Drosophila melanogaster: one gene and its partner. The gene in region 2 interacts genetically with the main gene of each other region. Each region holds a gene or a part of one and is shown on either strand. Other genes may lie near its edges. The genes, in order: GckIII and Ccm3.

Region 1 (4,978 bases), 1.7 Mb from region 2:
GCCGTGGAACAAGTTGTCGAACTCGGCCACATCTATTTCCATGCCGTCTTCCAGGCTGGCAAAATCCTATAAAACAATATCGTCCATCAAGAAGAGACGCCACTTGGGTTTCTACGGACTCACCGCCATTTTACTGGACCAGGCCTTAGAGCGCTCGTAGACCATTGCCTCCAGTGTTTCCTCGTCCACCACCGCATTCGCCATGGTTATGTAGTTATCAGTTCACGGAATACTTGATTAAAATTTATAAAAACTAAAAGAAATCTTAAAACACAAAAATAAAGAGTCAACAAAAATGGCGTTGCCACTGGTGTTACCGTCTCCAAGGCGCCAAAAAATACACCAAAACGCGACTTAACTAAACACGTCCCATTTTTATTTATATAAAACAAATAGAAAACTTGGGTTCCTCATTTCCAATAAGGTCGTTTTGATGTTCTATTTGCACGGCTTTTTGATTATAATTATTATTTATTTAACGATATCCTGTTTATTCAATTTATTTATTTTTTTATTTACTGCATTTTTCGCTAGCGTCCAGCGTTGCCAGATCAAATGAATACTCGGAGTCACCAATGATGCCAAGTTCGCATTAGCGCGCCAAAATCGAATTGTTTATTTTTGTGGGGTTTTTATTTTGAAGTTATATATGTTTTACATTAGATTAATATTGCAGATAAACAAACGAATACATATTATATGCTTAAATAACTGTTCAATTGAAATACATGTACATCGCTCCCGGTCCTCTGTTGGCCACTAAATGTCGGAATATGTCTGCTCCAGCGTTTCAGTTTGTGTTGTCTCGGTGTCGTTAATAAAGTTGTGTATATATTAAAATAGGCTGCTTGGAATCGGAATTTGCTACGGCTTCGCCAGCTACTTGCGGTTGCGTATGGCGCGGTCCATGATCGTATTGATTCGCGTCTCCGAGTAACCAGGAACGAGCATGTGGATCAGCTCTTTCATAAATAGGTCGCTCACTCCCGGACTGGAACGTTCGGCCAGCTCGAACACAGACTTCAGGTCGCCGATGTCGCTGCCGACGCCTATGTTACGGCCGCCTGATCCTCCGCTTCCTGCAGATCCTCCGCCGGAGTACTTTCGCTGGATGTCGCTCAGCACGGGGAAGAGGAAGTTGTTCAGACAGGCGCTGTTCGTTTGGACTAGGCGTTGTCCCGCCCCAGAGTGCTTGACATGGCTGGCATGGTTGGTGGCCACATGCTCCTCGTGGCTGTGGTTGTTGCTACTGCTGCTGCAGCTGGCAACCAGCGCGGCGTTATTTGCATGGAATGATTCACGTTGGCTGCTGCGGCGCTGTTGCTGCTGCTCAGCCGTCGATGGAGTCGGAACCGACGACTGCAATGGCAGGCCCAAAGAGGCACGGCGATCCTCTACTTGATCCAGAGGGGCGGCGGATCGCGACTGGCGCAGCTCCGGCTTCGAGCTGGAACGCTTCTGCTGCAGCTCACTGGCCGACGACGAGCTTGTGACGCTGCTCGGCGGAGGAGCTGCGTTCAGCATGGTGGTGGTGGCATGCTTGTTGCTCAAGTTTCTGATGTTATTGTTGTTAATGTTGTTGTGGTTGTGGTTGTGGACGTGACTGTTCTGGGGGGGCAGGGCGGATGCAGAGGAGACACCTTCGTTGGCTGTAATGACCGATACGGAGGAAGCTGACGCCGCCACGGCGGACACAGAGGACGATAATGCATTTGCAGCAGGGGACGCTTGCACGCCACCACCGCCGGCTGGCGAGTGTGTGGTCTGCATCAGCTTCTGCATGGTTAGCTCGTGCTCCTGCAACTGGAAGCTGTTGACACCCGCCCGCGGAGCACTGTTGATATGCAGGCCCTTGACGGTCATGATCCAGGGCTCATCCTGGCTGCTGCCGCCCTGCTTGGCGTCCGAGTCCGAGTCAGAGTTCTCAGACTCCGTCTCACTTTCGTCGCCCTTGGAGACCTTCCACTTCTTGAAGCGGTCGATCAGGTCAATCAGATAGGCGTTCTTCTTGGCCTTCTTGATGAACGGGTACTTGAGCAGCTCCTTGGCCGTGGGCCTGTTCTCCGGGTCCTTGTTTAGGCAGGCCTCCACAAAGTCCTTAAAAGACTTGGTATAGCTGCCCGTCAGCTGGGGTGGATTGTTCTTGGGGATGAGGAAGAGCACGCGCATCGGATGCAGCTCCGAATTGGGCGGCTCACCCTTGGCCAGTTCGATAGCCGTGATGCCCAACGACCAGATGTCCGCCTTGGCATCGTACTGTGACTGCTTGATCACCTCGGGCGCCATCCAAAAGGGCGTGCCCACGAAGGTGTTCCTCTTGGATGTGGTGTTGGTCAGCTGGCCAGCGACTCCAAAGTCCGCCAGCTTGACATCGCCCTGTTCGCTCAACAGAACATTGGCCGCCTTGATGTCGCGATGCAGCTTGCGCTCCGAGTGCAGGTAGTCCAGGCCCTTAAGCACTTCGCGCAATATGATCCCGATGTGCATTTCCTCGAAGGAGCCGGCCTTCATGAGGTCCAAGGCGGATCCACCGCCCAGGTACTCCATGATGATCCATAACTTGGTGCCCTTAAGAAAGCTGCCATAGTACTTCGTCACGTACGGCGAGTCGCACTGCGACAGCACCATGATCTCCTGCTGGATGTCGTCGATCTCATCTTCGGCCTCCTCCAGATCGATGATCTTGATGGCCACCACTTGCTGGGTGCGGTTGTCGATGCCCTTGAACACCTCGCCGAAGGAGCCCTTGCCGATGCGCTCCTGCTTGGTGAAGATGAGCTCTGGATCGACTTTCTCCGTCCAGGACATGTTTCCTATCTGGTTTCTACTTCCCACTTCGTGGCTTCTGGCTCTCCTCCTCCACCTCCTTCTGGATTCACGGGTTTCCTTGTTACTCCGCTGGCTCTCGACTGGCTTGTGTTGGACCCAACTGGACTGAACTGTTCTGCGGGCTATTTGGTGGCTGAACTACTCTGCGGGGGCACTTGACTAATAATTTTTTCGTTGGTATCTCATCTAATCCGAGAAATCTCTCTTTTTTTTGCTGTATCGCAGCAGTATCGAATACCGATTGAATATCGATATTCTCCTGTCGATATCGATATCTTTCCAGCTGTTGATTAGAGCCGCCAGCCGAAAAATAAATATTAAAATTAATTTTTTATTTTAATTGTAATAATATTTATTTCACGATTCGTATGTATTTTCTTAACTCTGGCAGAGCAATTCTTATTCTTTCACTAATATAATAGTTATTAATTTCCCTAAGATTATTTAACTCGTTAGCAGTTCCGAAAAGCTTAAATAAGATTAACTTATTCATTTATTTTCCTATTCGACTTGTGTCAAAGCTTACAATATATAAATATTAGATGTTAACTATTTTATTTCTTTACCCACTTCTGTAATTACAAAACCCATTTGGCAGCGTTGCCACATAATATTGAATATTGGAAAGCGTTGCATCGATACCCGCTAAAAACTTAATGTTGCAGAATGAATTTACATCGAGTCCCTCATTTTTAGTTTATTGTAAATGGATGTAGTTATCGAGTATAAATAAAAACAACTGGTTTCCAAACGATGCAACTAAAATGATTTTTTCGCCATCACTAAGGATTCAATTTCACATCATTCAAAATAATTTTCTTTAAGCTTAATATCGCAATTGATGGGTTATTTTAATACATAAAACACATAAGTTACTTATATCTGAAAAAGAAAATCGCAGTGCCTTCAATACCCATGCATACACCAAAAATTCAGATATTTCGTTTTAATGTACTTTATTTATGAAATGTGTTACATTTTTCTTTTTTTCTTTTGATATAGCGAAACAATACATGAACTCGGCGAAAAGACTTTCACAAATATGTGTTTTATATAAAAATTTCTTAAACAGATTACTACAAGTATGGGTTTTCTACGGTTGGTACCCACTTTTGCCTGGGTACAGATCGTCAGATTCGTCGGTGGTTGTCTGCGACCCGGGAGTTCGCGAGGAGACAACCAGCAAGGAATCTGTGACAGAACGGTGATTTTCCTGACGAAAAACGACCCGACGAGTCCTAGCTATAAAACTTTCTCTTAACATGTTACTTTACGTCAGAACATAAATTACCAAAGAGGGTGAAACAGATATGCTAAGACAATCTTATCAACTAAGGGAAGGGTATTATGTGGTCTGGCCTGTTGTATTACATAATTGAGCAGATGGATCGGCCCTCGGCAGCGACCGCGGCAACATCAGCCACCTCTACAACAGGGTCAATGTTTTCTCCATCGCTGGACTCCTTGTCGCCATCCTGGCCATTGACGTTCTTATCCTCGACATCCTTCTTGGCGGGGATTTCCTCCGCTCCGGCCTCCTGACCAACGGTCACGTCTTCGGCCGGTTGTTCCTCCTCCACATCAACCTCTTCTGGTACGCCAGTCGTAGATGTGTTCAGATGTTGCTCCTCCACGCCGGAACTGTTCGGCTCCAGACGCAGACGGGTCGGAGTACCGATTGTTGCCTTGGAGAATCTCGAGCGCAGCAAGCTAAAGGGAGAAGCCAAATTCAGGCTGAACAAGTCGAAGCGGGCGCGCTTTGGCGGCGACATATCCACGTCGTGGCCCAGGTCACTGGTCGACTGAGAGGCCGTCAGTGGTGGGGGAGTGCGTTCACGCTTGCGGCCACGGCCAAAGAATGAAAATGAAAATGACGAGCTGTTGGGGATCTCTGATCCGACTGTGGCATTCATGCTTGCGTTCGTGCAGTTCGAGGTGTCCAGATCGCTGTTCCCGCACCTGTAGGTGCCTATTTTCGAGGGCGTCAGTGAGTCGATGGGTCGTATGCTACGCCTGCCGCTGATCTGGGCGAAAGTGCGAGCCGGAGTTCCTGCCGGCGAGCTGGAAGTCTGGGCAGCCAGCTCTACCTCGGTGCTTTGCTTGTTGCTACCACGGAAACTGAAGAGACTGCGTCCGGGCGTGGATGTAG
Region 2 (5,087 bases):
TTTTTCAGGTCGCCTGTTTTCCTCTTCCACGTTTGCGCTGGGAAATTCACATAAATGCATATAGTTTACACTAGGCTACGTAGGCTGTACATAATATATCCGAAAAACGCGATCGTTTCACTGCTACTATATAGAAAAAAACTCCGCCTAGTTGTCCACTTTCTGTGGGTAGTAGCAGTTGGGTCTCAGTGCGAATACCGAAAAGTGGGTCATCTCGGTCGCGCTGCTGGCGCACTCTGATTTCTACCCAACTGCCAGCTCGGTGCTCAGTGTGCCAGAGCAGAGTGGCCCAGAGAACCCAGAGCCGAGCACTCAGTACCCAGTGCCCACTATTCAGTGTGCGGGGAATCGATTTTTCTGCCAAATGACACTGAAAAACGGGCAATTCTCTCCCGCTCTCAGAAGGACTCCTTTGGGGTTGCAACTGGGTAAATTTCTGCTCAGGGCCTGTTATTGGGGGTTTACTATTACTTTTGGCTGTTATCCGTTAACAGCGCTGTCCTCTGTTAACGACATGTGCGTGTAAATCTGAGATTTTGATTTCAGTTTACCAATCTCTGATTTTCGAAATCAATTCTCGGGTAATATAAAACAATTATTTCCACATCATACCACACCTAATACTATAAATTATAAAGTAATTTTACGTAAATTGGTTAAATATGAAACACTCTTTTCAATTTTGGAATATAAATACATTTATTTGTCGTTTTCTTTTCGCTATGTCTACATTATGAGTTTGTTGCCGTTCTTTTACTTTTGCTTAGTGTTCGATTTTCATATAACATTTTATTAATTAAAATAATTTTTTCTCCATCCTGTTGATAGTGCTGTCGGCCACTAATGTCTTTCGCTTTCGCAGTTTTCAAATAGAACATATCATTAAGTAAAAGATTATTATGTATAGTGTTTAAATTTCAAACTCTAACAATTAAAAACAGTTAAAAATTTAAGTGTTCCGTTAATGTTTTTGTTTGTCATCTCCCCGTAGTACATACATTTCCTGTTTCTCGTTTTTTTTCCACTAATTTTAAATTTATTCGTAGGCGCTTCTCCTAAACAAAAACAAACTAGCCGATGTTGTTTGTTAACAGAAAAAGAATGAATTATTTACAATAAATTGTAAACGAAAAATAAACTCTCGCACACATCGTCCGTCTCCATAAATAGTTGCTCACTAGTTAATTACAATGCTTAGGCTTCGCAAAATTTTGTGTCCGAGTATGTGTAATACATATGTATATACGATATAAATTAGGCCTATTTATTTAGTTACAACAGATTTTCATTTACGTTCAAACATTTAACTTGGACTGCGTCGGGCGATTTTGTATTTAAGTGTGTTGAGTTTATTTGATTTGTTTCGGTCTTGGTATGTTAAATGGTTATTTAAACATAAAATTAAAATGCCACTAATTAATTAATTTGCCATAATTAAAGGATTTAATTCTCTACTCGCATTTACTCTTAACTGTCAGCATTATTTGATTCGTTTGCCGTATTAGAAAAAGTGCACTTATGAATACTGCATTCGGTCTGAAAATAGATAAAATAAAAGAGAATCGGTTAGAAAATCCTTGCTGAAGCAATTTGAATTAGTAATGCAATTTGGCCCCAATTTCATGAAAAGGTCAGCGGTAATAGCCATTAGTACGTAATCGAAGCAATTTACAATTTAAAATGGGCGGGGGTCCGGCTTAATATCCGCCCCTCAGAATCTCCGGCGCAAAATGATAAACCAAACAATACCCGGAATGCCAATGGAATGACATCATCTCAACGGTTGGCCCGAAACGATAAGAAACCAGATATGAGCCGATTTAAAGAAACCGGCTGTCATGGCGTCGCAGCGTATCGTTTGATAACACATATAGTAAATAATCACTGCAGGTGATTCTTAATACTTACTGTCCTTCTTTGAAGTACTCCTTCAGCGTTGTGCTGAACTTCTTGGAATATTTGACGAACTCCTTCTTACGCTGCTCCACAGCCTGCTTGCCCGTTACGCCAGGTATAAACGAGCCGATCTCGTTGACCACATCGAGTAGTTTCTTTATGGCGCTGGCGATTTCCCTGTAAAACGCAGTAAAATTTCATTATTCATTAATCAGTTAAGCTTATGCAGTGAGTTTTAGCTTCATTTTGAGTTTTTACTTACTTGATGGTCTCCAGGAAGGTCTTCCTGTCGTTTATCTCATCGGGTATGCGGCTGAGGATCACCTTGAGAGCCACGGACTTACGATTGAGCTCCTGGAAGGGCTCCTCCGTGCGCGTCAAGCGGTATTCATTGACTGTGGAAGGGGGAAACTTCGTTAGCTACGAAACTCAGCTGCTGGCGTGGCTACTTACGGTCCGCTTCCGTAATTTTGCCCTGCAATCGGAGCACGGCCTCGTTTAGGTTAACATTCAGATCGGCCCGCCGCACAATTGTGGCTACGAGGTCATAGCAGAAGCCCGGATTGTTCTGCTCCGACTTGAGAATGGCGGAGCGCAGAGATTGGGCAGCGCCAACGTCGCGTCGCTCGAGCTGCAGGTAAACGTACACAAAGTTAAGCAATTACAAACCCAAGTACCCCATGTAAAGGTTTACGCAACAGGCCACGATCTGACGGGGCTGAAGGGTTCAGAGGTACGGTTTGGGGCTGACGGGTTCGGAGCAGAGCACAGCAGAGCGGAGCCGAGCACCTGGGATCGTTTCACCTACCTGGGAGAAAATGGGCCGCAGTATGACGGGCAGAACGAGAGACGACGTGGGCTCGCCCATTGTCATTGCTACTAGTGTGCTTGGTCTTCTCTACTGGTGCCTAGGTATCCTGGCGCATGCTGCAGGAACCCAGTTGCGATTCCCGTTCCGTGCGATGTCCGTCGCTTCGCTCGCACGACGCTCGCAAATCAAATTAAAAAATTAACAAAAATTGTTCACAACAGCACAGGCACAGTGTTGTTTTTCAATACTGGAAACTAACTGGTTTTTATCGATGAACGTGTCGTGCTTGGTTAGATATCGATTGCTTCTGTAGAAGCTGATGGTAGAATCAGCTGATTTACATAAACCTATCGGAACTCTGCAATAAATTGGTTTATTTTTGTTTACCTGTCCTTTTATCAATGATAAGAGAAATGTCCAACCACGATATCAAGCTGGAGGTCTGCGTGGACTCCATACGATCGGCTTTTGCCGCCGAGGAAGGCGGAGCTTCACGCATTGAACTGTGTTCGGCATTGGGCGAAGGTGGCTTGACACCCAGCATCGGTACCCTAAAAACTATTAAGGAAACGCTCACAATGCCCATTTACTGCATGCTGAGGCCACGGCGGGGCACCGACTTTGTCTACAGCGACGAGGAGATGTGCGCCCTGCTCACGGACATGGACTTGCTGCGGGAAAACGGTGCCGATGGCTTCGTTTTCGGATCCCTGAATCCGGATCGCAGCATCAACGTGGATCAGTGTCGGCACGTTTTGCTGGCGTCCGGTGGTCTGCCAGTGACCTTTCACCGCGCCTTCGACCTCACCGACCAGAAGTCCATGGACGAGAATGTCGACATGTTGCGGGAACTAGGTTTCCGACGTCTGCTGAGCAGCGGATTCCGACCCACGGCTGCCGATGGCGTAGATTGCCTGGCACAGCTGATAGCCAAACATCAAAGAGACTTTATAGTTATGCCCGGCGCCGGCATAAAGGTGTCCAACCTGGAGGAGATCCTCACGGTCAGTCGCTGCCTAGAGTTTCACGCTTCCGCCCTGGACACGGCTGGCGAGGACTACGTGGCGCCCACCACCACGCGAATGGAGTGTGACGTGACCATGGGCAAACAGGACGTGGACCCCTACTACGGAACCAACTCCATCGTGGTGCGAAAGATGGTTACCATTGCGAAAGCGATGAGCTCCCGCTGAAAATCATAGTACTTAACCTATCCCTAAGACTTAAATTATTCCTTAACTGTTTGTTTACATCATATATAACTAGTATATACCTTTTACTTAAGTAGTCTTATCCCTAAAATTCTAAATTCTAAAAAATAATCCAAATTTGATTTGATTTGATTGTGCTGAAACAACATGATTGTGGAGATAGTAGAGAATCCTGCTGCTCTAGAACATAATTCTTTTAATGATCACTTAAATAATGCAGAAAGGGTATTGCATAGAATAGAAGCATACAATGTAAAGCTAAATAATCATATGAGGAGATTGAAAGAACTGCTGGCCAACAATAGAAGATTGATTTCGGGGCTATCGTACAATGAGCACAGCATTAAATCTTTATTGGAAAACAAAGCTCAAGATAAACAAATAGAGTAAGCTAAAGAAGGAAATATGAACTCGGTTATAAACTAATATATTTTTAGGCGAAATTCAAGTAAAAGAAGGTGTCATCTTCGTAGGACTTGCAAGGCGACCAACATCAGAGAGGCATGTTGGACGCAATGCAAGTCTCACATGGAGCCTGAAGAGGAAGAGCAAACCCAAGACGTGGTGGAGATCCAAACGAAAACACAAACATCTAGAAGCCGTTCCGGAAAAGTATGTGAACGGCAGAAAGGTGGTAGGGAGCTGAGTTCATATTACGAGCTAAGTGAGGAGATTGGTTTCAAAGGTAGGTTTTTATCAATTTCTGAGATCTCTTTCTTGAAATCCAAGTATATCCCAAGTGAAATGCATGCTAAAGCTTGTCGAAAAGATGGATTTCAAAACGGCCACAATTGCCGAAGTGAAAACCATTCGCAGAAGGGTGTTAAGTGCAATATCAAGTCGCCAAAAAAACCTGCAGTGAGCCAGAAGGAGTTTGGTCGCATCTGATATGTATGTCGAAAAATCCGTATTCCTACAAATAGGCAAATTGAATGAAATAAATTGAAAACTCTTTTCAAAATAATGACATTAGCTGTTTAATGATATTTACATATGAGGACAAGAACATTAATTTCAAATTAGGCTTATCGATATGAATCGAATTTCATGCGCAGGCGCATCTAAAATTGATTCACTCTAGCTGTGTGTTTTGGAACAGAATGGGGTCCTTGGAGCCCGAGAAAGTGTGATACAGCTGGCTCCTCCGGACAGCCCTCAGTTTACAATCA

Evidence for each region.
Region 1: of Ccm3 (region 2) and GckIII, changing one enhances a phenotype caused by changing the other (phenotypic enhancement), as found in Drosophila melanogaster (one study listed by BioGRID).

The regions. Positions count from the first base shown.
Region 1 is NT_033777.3:17,083,628-17,088,605, reverse strand, and holds GckIII (germinal centre kinase III), read right to left. Parts: upstream 3,094-4,978; 5' UTR 2,809-3,093; coding exon 880-2,808; 3' UTR 618-879; downstream 1-617. Other genes in the region: cal1 (chromosome alignment defect 1), read right to left, coding at 1-66, 124-204; kuk (kugelkern), read right to left, coding at 4,197-4,978.
Region 2 is NT_033777.3:15,369,835-15,374,921, reverse strand, and holds Ccm3 (cerebral cavernous malformation 3), read right to left. Parts: upstream 2,966-5,087; 5' UTR 2,771-2,965; coding exon 2,705-2,770; intron 2,528-2,704; coding exon 2,350-2,527; intron 2,292-2,349; coding exon 2,159-2,291; intron 2,074-2,158; coding exon 1,909-2,073; intron 1,537-1,908; coding exon 1,452-1,536; 3' UTR 685-1,451; downstream 1-684. Other genes in the region: Rbp (RIM-binding protein), read right to left, coding at 1-60; CG6136 (uncharacterized protein), read left to right, coding at 3,109-3,900.